Linked DNA regions of Alligator mississippiensis. The protein of the gene in region 1 interacts with the protein of each later gene in a pairwise test. Links are inferred from orthologs where the notes say so. Each region holds a gene or a part of one and is shown in the gene's direction. Other genes may lie near its edges.

Region 1 (7,504 bases):
CTTTAGTGACTTGCCCTTCCTTCCATTATCTGTACATTTTGATTTTGAGGCATCCAAGAAGCTCCTTGTGCAGCCACATCAATCTCCTGCCATCCTTCCTGCCATTGCATAGCAATAGCTTCTTGTTAAGCTTCTAATACTATGCCCTTTAGAAATTGTCAGCCCTCCTAGACCCTTTTATCATTCATATTGTCCTCCTACGGGATCTAACCTACTATCTCCTTGAGTTGGTTGAAATCAGCCTTCTGGAGATCTGGTATCCTGCTGATCTTATATTTCCCCTTAGAGCGAGGGCAAGCAATATATGGTGATTCCATCCAGCCCACAGGCATCCTCCAATTAATTATTCCCTGCCCAGCCCATTCACCTCACTCCCACCCTTGTGTAAGGAAGGGCCCCGGCCTGGCCAGCACTTCTGGGCAGGGCTGCTTCTGCCCCTGCTGCAGCCACTGGGGTCCTGCTCAGCTTCCCTGGCATCCAGTGGTTCTTCCAGGCAGCAAGTAGGGGAGCAGGAGGAGGAAAAGCTGCAGCAGGAGCAGGGGGAAGATGCAGCTGAATGGGGCAGGGAGCATGGGGCTGGCAGGAGCATGAAGCCTGTGCCCAGGGGCTGTGCATAGCCATGGTGATGTGCTGCTTGCCCACCTGGCAGCACTGGAGGCATTGGCAGTGTGGAGTTTTGGCGCCCACTGCTGCAGGGGAGGCAGGGAGGCACAGGAGGGACACAGCCAACAAGGGACTCCTAGGAGAAAGGCAGCAGGGTGGGGAGTCCTGAGCCTGCAGCGGGCAGCCCACATCCACCTCTGCCCTGTTCGGCTTGGCTCCAGCTGCACCACCAGTGGGGGGTGGGAGGCAGGCATGTTTCCCACCTTTACATTTAAAAAAGGTGGTCACCCTACTTTTTGTATATGATTCATTTTTTTTCTGGTTCCAAGATGGCAGTGCTCCCTACTCCCAAAAGGAGTACTTTCAGGAATAAGGGGAGCAACTTCCAGTGGCAAAGGTCAGGGGTAGGACTTCCAGTCCCAAGATGGTGACTAGGGGGCAGGGCACCTGCCAAGGGGCTACCCTTGTAGCCCTTGACAGCTTGCCCAAACTCATTAAGCAGCCCACCCCTGCCTTAGAGTCATGAATTCTGTCATGTGATGATCATTGTCTCTCAAGTTTTCTCATGACTTATCAAGGAAGTTTTTCTCTCTGAAACTGCATAACATTGATACTTGTACTTCCCACCCTTCAACCTTTTCCTCCATGGTGGACACCAGCTGGCATTTGGTGCACAGGAAGTCACTTTGACCCTCTAGGAGGAACACAAACATAGCACATCCCATATAGCAGGGGTTGTCAATCAGGGGTACGCATACCCCTGGGAGTGCTTGGGAAGCCCCTAGGGGGTATGTGTGGGCAGGTGGGGATGGAGTGCCACCACCCAATGCCGCTGCCTCCCAGGAGCAGGGCTGGGGCCGGGCAAGGGCAACGGTGCCCCTCTGTGGGCTGCATAGGCGCCACCCGGCTGGCCAGACACAGAATAGGTGGAGGGGGAAGCTTGCACATAGCGGCTGCCGCCACCACCACCATCCTGCACTGCTGCCACTCTGTGTTTGGCCATGCGTCACACCCCCTCCCTGCTCTGTGTCCAGCTGCCGGGGGTACACTTATTAAAAGAGGTTGAAAAGCCCTGCCAAATAGGTAACAACTGCTGTGGAAAATGCTTAGACTGTGCTTTAGAACTTTTCACTTCTCCTGGGCTCAGCCCTTCTTCCTCAAACAAGCTCCCTCAGTTCACTGCTCAGTCTGCTGGAAAAGCTGTCTTTTATAAGACTGCCAGGCCTGAGCCTGCCTGGTTCATACCTCAATTAACTAGACAAGGCCCACCTGAAACAAAGCAGACCATGCAAATTTGCAAATACATACCCAGTCAGACAGTCACTACAAAAGAGGCTCTAGTTAAACACAGTGACCACAAATTAGACACAGCAACTGCAGGCAAACTACTGTTTGCTGTTCACTGTTGACAGGGTTCCCTATTAATAATAATGATGCAAATTAGGAGGTAAACGAACTCTAGTAAATTGTGGGGGTGGAGGAGAGAGAATCAACACAAATTTTCTTCTCCTTATTTTTCTGAATAATCTCTTCAGGGATAGAATCTATATAAAGTGAAATTTCACTCTTCTAATTATTATACTTTTCTGTGTCATAGGGGAACTGTTAGGATAAATAGACTGAAGATTGTGAGGCGGTCAGAAACTATGGTAATGGATGCTATGGAAGTAACTGAGATTACAGTACAGCTTAATTTTGTATATTCCAGAAATGTTTCACAGAATTAATGTTTAATCACAAAGTTTAATCAATAACTGTGGAAAAATAAATGTAAGGGCAAGGTAAAATATATTTTCAGGTAAGAATAAAATGCCACAGTAACGGTGAAATACAACACACATGAAGGAAAGCTGTTTGAGGTAGCAACAAAAAGTTGCAAAGGAGAAAGATTTTGTATCACTGGTGAAGGTATGAAAGGAATTAAGAGGTGAGTGTTAGACTACCAAGGGGCCCAAGAAGGGGAAGCAAGCCACCACAGAAAGGACATCAGAAACACAATTTGTCTAATCTTACTCTCCCAGCCCGTTTCTGTGCCAGAGGGACTTATCCTTTACAAACAGAAGAACATTTGAAGATAAGAGGCATTTTGAAGCGGATGAAGTTGTGCCAAAGCACACTTTGGCCTTTCTGAGAATGATTTGTCAAACCTCTCCAGATGTATTTTGCTGTTACAAAAATGAGAATTTGGTATATCAGAAGCCAAAACCCAATAAAATGTTGTTGTTTAAGGGATAATTCATTGAGCTATGGTTTAGTTCCAATAAATTGTTTTGCTAAACCTTCCATCTTATACTATTTCATCAACAAGTTATGTTGACTGAAGAGATATTTTATGGACAAAAGAAACTGTAGCTTTTAACTGCTTAGAATAAACCTCTGTCAGACCTTTAATTGTAATGAGACAATATGCAAACATGTAGAGAATCATGCAAAAGATGCTAACACAGTGGTAAAGATTGAGATTTAAATTGCACAAAAATATGGAAATTCAAACGTGTTCCTGCTGCAAATGTAACTTGATTCCCTTGTACTTATCAGAAAACAAATAGTAACTTGAACTTATTCATGTTATAAAAGTGGAGTAATGATTGTGGCAGGAATATAGAATAGCTCCTCTAAAATAATAAAATTTGAACGTGCTGACCTTCACATAATTAACATCTCAGCATTAATGTTTTGTTAACATTTGCATTTATTCCCTTGTTTTTGCTCAGGGACAACACTGCTCAATAAATACCCCAGTGGCTTGTTGAAAAAAAAAAGCTACCAGAGCATCTCTTAATTTTGTTCTAGGAATAGAGAGTATGTTCTGTACTGTTCACTTTGATACGGATAACAGACATGGGATCAGGATGGACTCATTGTAGCACTTCATCAGATGAAGGCCCTGTCACGGATCAGATCTTGTATTCCTCAGTGGGTGCCACAACAGCAAAAAGGGCATTTGTGCAGTGAGGCTGCGCCACGTGGACAGAATCATTAAAACATTTAAAATAAAGCAGCAGGCAAAGTGCAGGGAGTTACACGGAGAGACGTCTGTTATTAGAAACACAAACACAGCATCATTAAAGACAAAACTTCAGCAGTGAAACAGACACATCCAAATTATTCCCAGCAAGTGTCAGAGGCCTGGAAGACGATTGATTACACAGCCCTGCAGGGAGTCAATTTACAAACCTTTTCCCACTGGCTACATACCCCGCGAGTCCCCCCGTGCCTCCCCCGCCAAACAGCCTCTGCTGCCACCGGGCACTGTCCCCAAAGCACTGAAAACCAAAGGCATTTTACCCGACCCCTCTCCTCCCCCAGCACCGCATCGCCTACACCTCTGGGACACAAAACCAGCCTCTATAACAGCAGGAAGGATCCGCAAATGGTTTACTTGCTGACCCCCCCGGAGCTGTTCAGTAAACGATCAGTGAATATTTCCCCCTCATTTTCCAGCCCCGGCGCGCGGCAGAGATCCGCGCCTTCCAAGCGCGACGCCGCAGACTTCCTACGATCTCCGCGCCCGTAACCTTCTCACCAAGTGCCTCAAAACACCTCGCAGGCGCTTGGCCCTCCCGCTCCCAGGGAGATGCAAAGCCCGCCAGCTCCAGCTCCAGCTCCTTCCCCGGATCCATCTCCAAGGAGTACCACGGCTCTGCCTCCCGCCCCCGGGCGAGCGACAGACTAGCCCCAACTGCTTCCCGGCTCCCCAGCAGGCGCGACCAGCTGACCGGATTCCTGGCCGGCCGCTGCAGCTCCAGCTCCGCCTCCTCGCTCGGCCTGGGCCCTCCTTTCCTGCTCCTGCTCCTGCTCGTCCTTGCGTGCCCTGGCGGGCTGCGTCGCGCCCTCCTCGGCCTGCCGCTGCCCGAGCCTGCGGGCGCCCAGGGCTGCTTGCACACGCGGAGCAGCGTCTCCCTCGGGGCGCCTGGCACGAGCCGCGGGAGGAGGACGCAGGTAACGGGCTCGCCGGGCAGCTGGCGGGGAGGGGGGCTCGCCCTCTGATGGCACTTGCTCTCAGGAGCTGCAGGAAGGGCTCGCTCACCCGCTGTGCCCATGGGACGGGTGTGGGCACCGGGCAACAGGGAACTTCTGCTCGTGCCCTGCGCTCAGTAAAGGCACCTGTTATACAAGACCACTTTGCAGCTTGCGGTGCCTTGCCTACAAGTTACTCCCACCCACCCCCAGTTAAGAGAATTAAGGCCTGTAAGTACTGATGGTCTCCCTCAGTTTCTTAATACGCATATCAGAAGGAAAGGCTGCAGCTGTGAAGTGCCAGCACAGCAGCTAGAGCAGTGGTTCCCAAACTTTTCCTCAGCATGGCCCCCACTCCCAACCCATGGCCCCCCAGCCCTGCTGCCCCATCTGCTGATGTTGTGACCCCATTTGGGGCTGGAGTCCCCCAGGGTTCAAAATGCACTTTGAGTCTGCAAAAAAAATGGAGCTGCCCATCACAATGCCTTAATAAAATCTGAGACCCCCTCAGGTTATGATTTTCAAATCTTACAGGGGGGCTCTTGTCTCTTATGGGGGGCAGGGGGCTCAGGCCTTCTCCCGGGCTCTCCCATAAGTTAAACCCGGCAGCCCACAGTTTGGGATCCGTTGAGTTAGAGGCTTTGGCTTGTAGCAACCAAATTATTCACTGCTCTGAAGATGCTCAGTCCTAGCCTCCTGTGAAGCACAATGGCAGGGGAGCATAAGGATTCTTGCACTGTCATTAGTTGCCCTGGGAATAGAAGGCTTCCTTCCACAGGGGTCTTTATACAGTGCTCAAGTCACCACACTTGCTATAAAAATCAAGAAAGACATTAAGAAGTAATGGTACTAGGAAAAATATTTTGTATAAGGATAGTAATAGCTGTGGTGTGGAAAAGATTGGTGAGCTGTTTCAGAGGGTAGGAACTGGATTTGTTGAATTACTGTGGACAATGAAAGAAGGCCTTTACCCTATAAACTCATGAGTTGGGAAGGTCAGTAATGAATTCTTTGGAGTAGTGTATTGGTGGTACTCCATGACACAAAGAACAGTTAACCACATAAAAACAGTTTTCTTCATTCTCTTAAAAAGTTCAGATTTTAAAATGGTGTATTGATTCAAGCAGCTAATATTATTATTTGAGTTTCCCAATCTGTGTAATAGGAGAAATGCTTTCTTATCTACTTTCTCACACCCATGTGAATTCATTAGGTAATGTTCCTAAAACAAATTGAAACTCAATCAATCTGCTATGGGCTGAGGTTTTGGGGCAATGTCTTATCAATGTGGGGAAGAGGGGAAAGTAAAAGGGGCATGTATGCTGAGGGTTTCTTTTAGAACCATTGCAATTCCAGAAGACTATTAAAGTGTTTCTACCCTAGTCATCCAGATCTGTACTGACTTTGGGATCTGGGCCTGGGGACATGGGAATTAGTGGAGATAAGGTGCAGCAGAAGCCTGCTGATCCTTATTGTGAAAAATTGTTGCGACCGCTATTTCTCCACACTTTCCAGTATAGAATTAATAGCAGAGGGCTATAGAATGGCCGTAGGTTACAACATCGGTTACTTATAAACTCTACCAAAGTAGTTATTTGTAACTAGTTCATGAATTTTAAGGTAATTAAAACTAAGCCAAAACTGTCAAATGAAAGTTATTTGTTGAGTAATGTAGTCTTGCTTTTACATATTAATTTACAATATTTAATTTATTTACAATTGTCTCCTGGTTGTTAATGCAAATTATCAAGGTCTTGCTGTATAGCAAAGGTGGCATGATTTTAGGCTCAGGGAAGATAATTATCACCTCTGATGCCTGTTACTAGCTGGTACAGGGCCCAGAATTGATCCCAATCTCATATTACGAAGATTTGCATCCTCCCCTGTGGCTGAAGAGAAGCTGTTGCAATGACAGTTGTTAAATAGAAAGCCAAGAGGGAGGGATTCAAATATAATGAGATACATAGGGCATTGATGCATGTGCTCCAGGAGGCATGGGGGTGCTTTAAAAAGCACCCAGAGCATCACCCGTATCAATTTCCCTGTGCTGAAAAATAGCAGTGAGGCTCTTTGAACTAAAGCTTGTTGAATAAGCTTTAGTTCAAAGTGCCCAGCTGCCATGTTTCAGTATGGGGATGCTGATGCACGTGACACTGCTAGAGTGCATTAATGTCCCTGCTCCAGCAGACTCAATTAATCCAATCTGCACCGATGCACTGGAGTTACAGCATGTTGGAGCAGGCTCCCTGCACGTGTATAGGAGCTCATAGAGTTTAAGGGAGGGAAAGGCTTGCAGTAGCAAGATAGCCAGCCCATCCCTTGCTTAACATAGGACTGATCACTTTTATTTTTTTTTCTAGTTGCTTTTCTAGTCTAGTTCTAAGTACGATCAAGCTAGTAGATCTCAAAATCAGAAATATTCATCTTCTAAATTTAAACTCCTGTTACTTCAAGTTATGATAGTATCTCTCTAAATTATTCCTTTCCATTCTTGTTGTTTACATCCTTGATGTATTTGCTAAAAGTTTTCATGAACCTACATAGGATGTGATCTTGTAACATTCTGAGGTTTCATAAATCTGTAACTCCAGTTTCTTATTTTTTGTTGTTGTTATTTTTGCTTGAATTATCTCCAGGTGTGCAGATGTGTGTAGGGTTTTTAAAATACCTTTCTAGAACTCAGTGCTCAGAATGGAATTACATGTGAAAAAGAACATTTAATATTTCACCAGAAAAGAATTATTACCTCCCTGCTGATGAAACTTTTACACATGCTGCACCAAATTGTCTATAGTGGGTTATGGAATAGAGAAAATCCCACACAACTTACTGATTCGTTTGATGCGCTGGCTGGGGGAGTAGTTAGTTGATTGCACGATTTCACAATGATTACACACTTAATTCATACAACACAATTTTATTTTAAAATTCTTTGCTACGC
Region 2 (7,456 bases), on another chromosome or scaffold:
GTTGCCCTGCTCGTCCTTCCCGGAGCACAGGGCAGCCCTGCTTCCCGCCCAAGCCCTGTGCCCTCTTAGGGCAGACGAAGTACCTTGCTGCGGACGTTTAAGGCCAGACACTGCACGAGGAGGGGGGGTCCATCATGGCCTCCGTTGTCCAGGTGTTGTTCCAGATCGACTCGGAGGTGTGAGAGCCCAGGATGCAACTGGACTACCCCATACGGCCGGCTGTGCTGGTGCAAGCTCTCTACCCAGGTGCTTCTCTTCTGCTCCTGCTGCCCCAGCCTGCTCCATTCTCCAAGGCACGGTGTCCCCGTCCCCCGCACTAGATGCACACCCACAGACCTTTTGCGGTTATGAATCTTCAAGCCAAGACGAGCAAAGAGACCAGACAGGACCTGCAGGTTGGAGAGGTATTCGGGATATGATATTTGGATGTGCAATGCAATAAGCAGTAAGCAGAAGGCACTGTGGATTGGGTCTGCAATGCAGTCCATGTCCCAAGAACGTGGCAGATAAAGCCTGGATTTTCTCCTTAGAGACTATTTATACTTGCCTGTGTATTTGAGGAGAAAGGAGCATGTGGCACAGGTCTTAAAGAGGGTGAGCAAGCGGTGTGCTAGCCGCAGTGGCGCTCTCGGGTCGGTAGAGAGCAGCCTTAGCCCATCTCCACAGCTGCAGCATCCCGGGAAGGACGGATGCGACTTGGCTTCGTGCTTAACGGGGAAGCGGGTGATCAGAGCTGATGGGCTCAGGTCTGCCGGAGGCTGGTGTTAATGCTGATGTCTGGCCCAGGCCAAGGGCTCAGCTGTCCCTGCAACAGAGCCGGCTCCTCCTGTGTCTCCCCCAGGAGACCCCCTTTCCAGACTGTGGGGCGATGTGCCCCAGTGACAGACATCAAACCGGGCCTTGGGGGACCTGGGGCTGTATTCCCGTCTCTGTCGTTGCCCTGTGGTCAGATCTTGGCCAATGCTCCTCCATCGCTGTGCCTCAGTTTCTCTTGCCACCCTTTGCTGGTGTCAGTTGTAAGGTCCAGGCGCTGAAATCATGCAGCCTTCCTCTTGCCCAGCTAAAGGAGATGGCTCCTTGCCCTTTCACGTGCAGCAAGGGAGACCTGGAGTAGATGCTGGGGAAAGTTTTTTTCCAGCCAGGGGGTTAAGCACTGAACCAGGCGGTTGAGGAATCCTGGCTGGAGGCTTTTAGGAAGACCGAGGTGGTGTCGTATGTGAGGGGAGCTAAAAAGCAGGGGAAACCCAGCGTGGACCACACTGCAGCACTCGGGGGAAGTCTTGCAAGGGAAAGGAGCAGTCTTGTGAGTCTGGGGGCTTGGCTACAGTCTGCTCTGCAACAGCAAGCAGAAAGAGCTCTGCCTTCCCCGAGACGCGTCCTTGGAAGAGGCAGGCAGCGGGGGCCCTCCTGCAGGACCCCTGTCTTCTGCTGAGACCAAGCAAAGCCACCACGGGGTTTCTCCTGAAAACGACTGCTGCTTTCCCCGCTGCTGGGCTGAGATTAGCCATACGGTAACGGGGGCTTGGTGCTTGTGGGGTTTGCTCTGAGAACAGGCTTTGCAGCAGCGTTGTGCATCCCAAACCTGAGCTCCAGGGCTGGTGTTTTGTTCTTGGGAAGCTTTGGGGCACCATGAGAAGCATCTGTAGCTGGATGCTGTCGCCTGTCTTTCCAGGATGGGCGGTCACGTCAGCTCCCCTCTGGCCAGGAGCCTTGGGATCATGCGTAACAAAAGCTTTGTTCTCACCAGGCCTGGTGCTGGCACTCAGACCCCATTAAAATGGGACTAAGCGATATGGACTGGTGGTACTAGAGGAAGACAGAAGAGGATGACAGGAAAGAAACGGCAGGCCTCTTCTGGTGGAGGGGGTCTTGCATAGACTTTTTCAGGAGCAGGTCTTTTGAGGAGGGCAGCAGGTAAGGGTACGGGTATGGAGATGGGTGCACGGATATGTGGTGTGAACTATGGAGCAGGTTTTTAGTGTGCTTTGAGCTGCCAAGTGAACCACAGGGGCCACTGGGTAGTGTTGGAGATGGAGTTTTATCCCTATCCCTATCTATTGATATCGATCGATATCAATATCGATCGATATCGATAGATAGATATCAATAGATAGATATTTATATATACAGAAATAAATATTTTTTGCAAAAAAAGAAAAGAAAAACTAGGTCTGGTGCTGGCCAGTTCCTTTCCATAATACATGTGGCACCAACCCCATGCCCAGTGCTCTGATTTCAGCACATATTTTGCTGCTGACGGCAAATGAAGCTCTCTGGAGGGCTGATTCTCCTCCACACGCGTGATGCTGGCATGCAGTGCGCAGGGAGCATGGCATGTTTTCACATTCAGGGGATGAAGAATAGTTAGTGCCTGGGAGCTCAGGCAGGGCTGTTTCTGCAGGCAATGGTTGATGTCTGGGCACATTCCCGGGTACATCAGGGGACATTGCCATGTTCTGTTTCTGTACAGCCGAGGAGGCTTCTCACCCTGCTTGCAGAGAGGATGCTGATCTCAGGAGGATGGACCGCCCAGGACTCGGAGGAAAGGGATGCTGCCAGTGTTGGATGAAGATCGGCACTGCAGGGAGTCGGAGATGGTGACAGGTGCAGGGGCAGACCCGGCGGGTGCAGGACGTGAGTGACTGGAACGTGGTACAACTGGGGACAGCAGAGCAGACGCAGGTTTGATCTGGCCTCTGTATTCGCTGCAGTGGGGTTGCACGACAAAACCAGGACGAAAGCAATCCGGGAGACTCCCCTTCTGCATGGGGCTGAAGTCTTCTAAGCACCTGCCGAGGGCAGACGGCCGTAGCTACCTCGTAGCAGGGGTGATGGTCACCCAGATGGGCTGGGCCAACTCAGCTGGAGGCCCTCCTACTGGTGCCGGTTAGCAGAGAGAGAGAACCAGTCCACAGCACAGACAGCCGTTGCACCATCCCGGCTCTCCTGGGGACGGCAGACCATGCCATGACCCACCGTCCCACCCGCCTGGACTGTGGGACCGCTCTGGGGGCCCAGAAGGAAAGCTGTTTGGGCTGCGCGCAGCGTAGTGGGCACTAGATGGATGGCGTGTGTGGCAGGAGGGGAGAGAAATCCCAGGGCACAAGGGAAGGTGGTATTATGCGGAGCTGCTGAATTACTGAAAATTCAAATTTTTGCTGAGTCGGCCCCATTTATCACTGCAGCGTGTGGATAAGAATACAGGCCCACAGGAAGCGTTTGGGAAGCCAGGCGTGCAAATTCTGCAGAGTCCGCCCCCGCCTCTGCCGCTCACGTATTGCAGCCAAAGTCACTTGACCATAATGAGCTCTCTCTGTCAAAGCAGAAGTTTTTGGAAGTGATTTCCCCCCACCCTTTATTTTTTTTGTGTGTGACAAAAGTAGTAAATCAGGATGAAACTCATCATTGCCCTGTGCTAGGCATCAATTACTGCTCCATGCAAGCAAATGAAGCCATCACCTCCAAGCCCACTGAAGCGTGGGGCTCGCATGGTTTTGCCGCTCGTCTGGCGGAGACAGACATTCGTCTGGGCCGAGATCTCTAGGAGGCGGTTGGACGCCGCTTTCACGCTAGAACAGCTAATCCTGTGTTTGCCTGCAATCAGCGCACTTCCAGTCCGATACAAACCTTTCTGCTTCGGAAATAATAATACACTGGACATTTTTCTGCAGCGCTTTCTGCCCCAGGAGGTCCCCGAACGCCTGCTCGGTTCACGAGCAGAGCGTGCGTTGCACCAACAGGCACCTGCCTGTCGCTGAAGGCCGTGGGGAGAGGAGAAGGTTAGACTAAAATATTGGGGCAATCTGTGTTGCAGGAAATAGCAGGCGGTCTCTTTTAGTATCCAACAGAGATGCCCTGGAAGACCGGCCGGACCCCCTGGGCCGGTACTCTGTGATTTAAATGAAACACCACTGCTCTATCTATGAATATGTGTCTCTCTATATAGTATAGATCTAGAGCTACTGTATGCAGAGTAGATACATAGAGTAGATGTTGAGTTACAGAGCTGCTGAATTACTGAAAATTCAAATTTTTGCTGAGTTGGCCCCACTGTATGTAGATCTAGATCTCTAATCTCGATATAGCTCTGCATATATTAGATCTATAGATGTCCACACACACGTGTCTATACACACAGACACGTGCGCGCGCACACACACGTGCGTCCACGCTCTACTCCTGTTGTTGCCCCCGAAGCGCCCCGCGCCGCTCCGGATTGGCTGGCCGCAGCCTCGCCCTGCGTTCCCATTGGCTGATCCCGTGACCTCCGCGCCTTCCGCCCTTCCTGCCCCGTCCGCTCAGAGCCCCGCCCCTGCTGGGCCGCTATTGGCCGCGGGGTCGGACGGTGGCCGGGCGGGGCGTTGCGGCGTCGGTTGCCGTGGCGACCGCGGGACTCGGCGCGGCCCGGCCATGAGGCGCGAGGAGCGGGACGTCCAGCGCTTCCTGCGCCGCGTGGATGACGTCAGTAAGCACCCCCGGGCCCGATCCTGCGCCCCCCCCGGTGCCCCCCGGTGCGCCCCGCTCCCGCTGCAGCCGGCGCCTTGTTCTCTTTGCCGTTTGCAGCCCGTCTGGTTCAAGGCTTGAGCTCGGCGGACCCGGCCGCCCGCCACAAGGCCCTGGCCGAGTCGGAGGCGCGCCTGCAAGCCGGCGGGGTGGGGGACGCGGAGGAGGAGGAGTGCGTCACGCGGTGGGACCGCACACGCATCAGCTCCCCCCGTGAGGTCAGAAGGGGAAGGGGTGAGGGGGGTGCATGTCTTGTCCTGCACGGCTGCGTCCCCTGGGCGCGCTCTGGGCCCGGGGAAGTTTGCTTCTGGCGATGAGGTCGGCGAGGCGCGACCCCGGTGTGCTCCTCAGTGCAAAGTCACGGGTATCGGAGGGCTTGGCTGTATATCACAGCTTTGTCGGCGTGTTTCGGGGGACTGCTGGTTCTGTGCACGTACGTACGGTGGTCCGTGGGTTTCTTGTATAACCTGGTCTGCATTTTACCCTTCTGGATACTCATCACCGCGTCTAACAAGGAGGCGTTGGCGTACTCTAGACACGGTCGGACGGAGGGTGGCGACTGTTGAATTTCCGATGGACCTCGATCGGAGATTGCAAGCTTTCGGTCCAAACGATGAAGGTGTCATCCATGTATCTTCGGTGTAGCAAGGGGCCGATGGGGCCGTGCTTGAGGAAGTCGTCTTCCAGGTGGCTCGTAAACCGGTTGGCGTACTGCGGGGCCGTTGCAGTGCCCGTAGCTGTTCCCGTCGTTATAACGCAAACGTTATCATTAATAACCATCCATATTTCGTGGCAATTCAACAGTTAAAGGGCGTGTTTGGATTATAGTAAGCGATTATAAGGCAAACGTTATAATTAATAAACAATATTTCGTGGCACTTCAACAATTAAAAGTGTTTGGATTATAGTAAGCAATTATAAGGCAAACATTATAATTAATAATCACCAATATTTCGTGGCACTTCAACAGTTAAAAGGCGTGTTTGGATTACAGTAAGCAATTATAAAGCAAACGTTATAATTAATAACCATCGATATTTCGTGGCAGTTCAACAGTTAAAGGGCGTGTTTGGATTATAGTAAGCGATTATAACACAAACGTTATAATTAATAACCATTGATATTTCGTGGCACTTCAACAGTTAAAAGGCATGTTTGGATTATAGTAAGCGATTATAACAGAAACGTTATAATTAATAACCAATATTTCATGGCACTTCAACAATTAAAAGTGTTTGGATTATAGTAAGCAATTATAAGGCAAACGTTATAATTAATAATCACCAATATTTCGTGGCAGTTCAACAGTTAAAGGGCGTGTTTGGATTATAGTAAGCGATTATAACACAAACGTTATCATTAATAACCAATATTTCGTGGCACTTCAACAGTTAAAAGGCGTGTTTGGATTATAGTAAGCAATTATAAGGCAAACATTATAATTAATAACCATCGATATTTCGTGGCACTTCAGCAGTTAAAGGGCGTGTTTGATTGTGCCGCCTGCCCGAGTTCTTCGTGGCCGCCGTGGAAAGCGGCAGGCTGCAGCCGGACGTGGGGCATGCGACGAGTCTGGCAGAAACTCGTAGCCAAATTGATTTTTTGAAAGAGGCAGCCTGAGCATTGACTTGTTTGTTTTCTCTGTTTCTGTGGTTTTAAATGTTCCTGATGGGATGAGTTCTGACAGGTTTAAAAACGCTGCTCATGCTTTGAGAGACACGTTGTTACAGAACTGCGTTTTGAGTTACTTTCAGAAATACGCGTGATGCACACACCTGTACTTCAGAGAAACGTGGTTTCTTTCCAGTTCAAAACTTCCTTTGTTTTGTGCGTGTGTTTGGGTGCGATTGTCACGCGTTCCTTTTTTTTTCAGGACACCCACAATGTGAAGACAGAAAACCCAGGTAGGATGGCATTCTCCTCTTCAGTCATTAACCCGCTATGAGTTTTTTGTATGGAGAAAACTCATTGCTGCTATCTCATGCCAGGCCCGGTCCTACTCCCACAAAAGTCAGTAGGAATTTTTTTACTTAATGGGGGCTGGATCAAACCTGCAATTGCTTATATTAAAGAGTCCTATACGCTTGGCTGCATTATGCATAGCAAGGAAGTTTTTCTAGGTGTTCCCCAGCTCTCACCAAAGAGCTTCATTATTCTGAATTAAAAAACAGGCCCATCTCCTAGAGATGAGCTACTTAAAAAGCCAGGTATGCAAATCCTGAGCAGTATTACAGCCTTTATGTGTAATAGCCACCCACATGGTCAGGGGCAGCCAGGCAGGCCCTACGAGGAGAGGCTACAGGACCTGAACCTGTTCAGCCTCCACAAGAGAAGGCTGAGGGGGGATCTGGTGGCAGTCTACAGACTAGTCAGGGGGGACCAGCAGGCACTGGGGGAGTCCCTGTTCCCCCGAGCACTACCAGGAGTGACTAGTAACAACGGACACAAGCTGGCAGAGAGTAGTTTCAGGCTAGACATCAGGAGGCGCTGCTTCACTGTCAAGGCGGCTAGGACCTGGAACCAACTTCCAAGAGAAGTGGTGCTGGCTCCTACCTGGGGGTCTTTAAAAGGAGGCTGGACGAACATCTGGCCGGGGTCATTTGACCCTAGTACTCTTTCCTGCCCATGGCAGGGGGTCAGACTAGATGATCTCCTCAGGTCCCTTCTGACCTGACCAACTATGAACTATGAAACCTATGTTCCATTTAATATCAGAGTAATGAAATGTCCCCTTAAGATTTTCTTCATGGAGAAATTGTAGCTCAGAAGTGACTTTTATCTCATCATTGGTTTGCTTTTTTAATGAGGAAATCTCTCTCTCTTTTTTATTTTTTAACTGAAATACCATCCTAACTTCCCTGCTCAAAGGTGATTTTTTGGCAGCCCTGGAGGAGGATGCACAAGAGCGAGCCAGAAGAAGGAAGAAAAACGAAGGCTTAGCGAATGGTAATTG

Evidence for each region. The genes of interacting proteins can lie anywhere in the genome.
Region 2: the proteins of MIPOL1 (region 1) and TTC12 interact in binary tests that used the Homo sapiens proteins (3 or more experiments, as listed by UniProt). The two-hybrid records come from large-scale screens. The link is inferred for Alligator mississippiensis from reciprocal best matches to the Homo sapiens genes MIPOL1 and TTC12.

Annotation. Positions count from the first base shown.
Region 1 is NC_081825.1:258,444,601-258,452,104, forward strand, and holds the start of MIPOL1 (mirror-image polydactyly gene 1 protein), read left to right. Parts: upstream 1-4,455; 5' UTR 4,456-4,545; intron 4,546-7,504.
Region 2 is NC_081839.1:32,582,586-32,590,041, forward strand, and holds the start of TTC12 (tetratricopeptide repeat protein 12), read left to right. Parts: upstream 1-4,362; 5' UTR 4,363-4,410; coding exon 4,411-4,465; intron 4,466-4,563; coding exon 4,564-4,721; intron 4,722-4,780; exon of another isoform or gene 4,781-4,816; coding exon of another isoform or gene 4,817-4,936; intron 4,937-6,376; coding exon 6,377-6,407; intron 6,408-7,371; coding exon 7,372-7,449; intron 7,450-7,456. UniProt on the Homo sapiens protein: Cytoplasmic protein that plays a role in the proper assembly of dynein arm complexes in motile cilia in both respiratory cells and sperm flagella.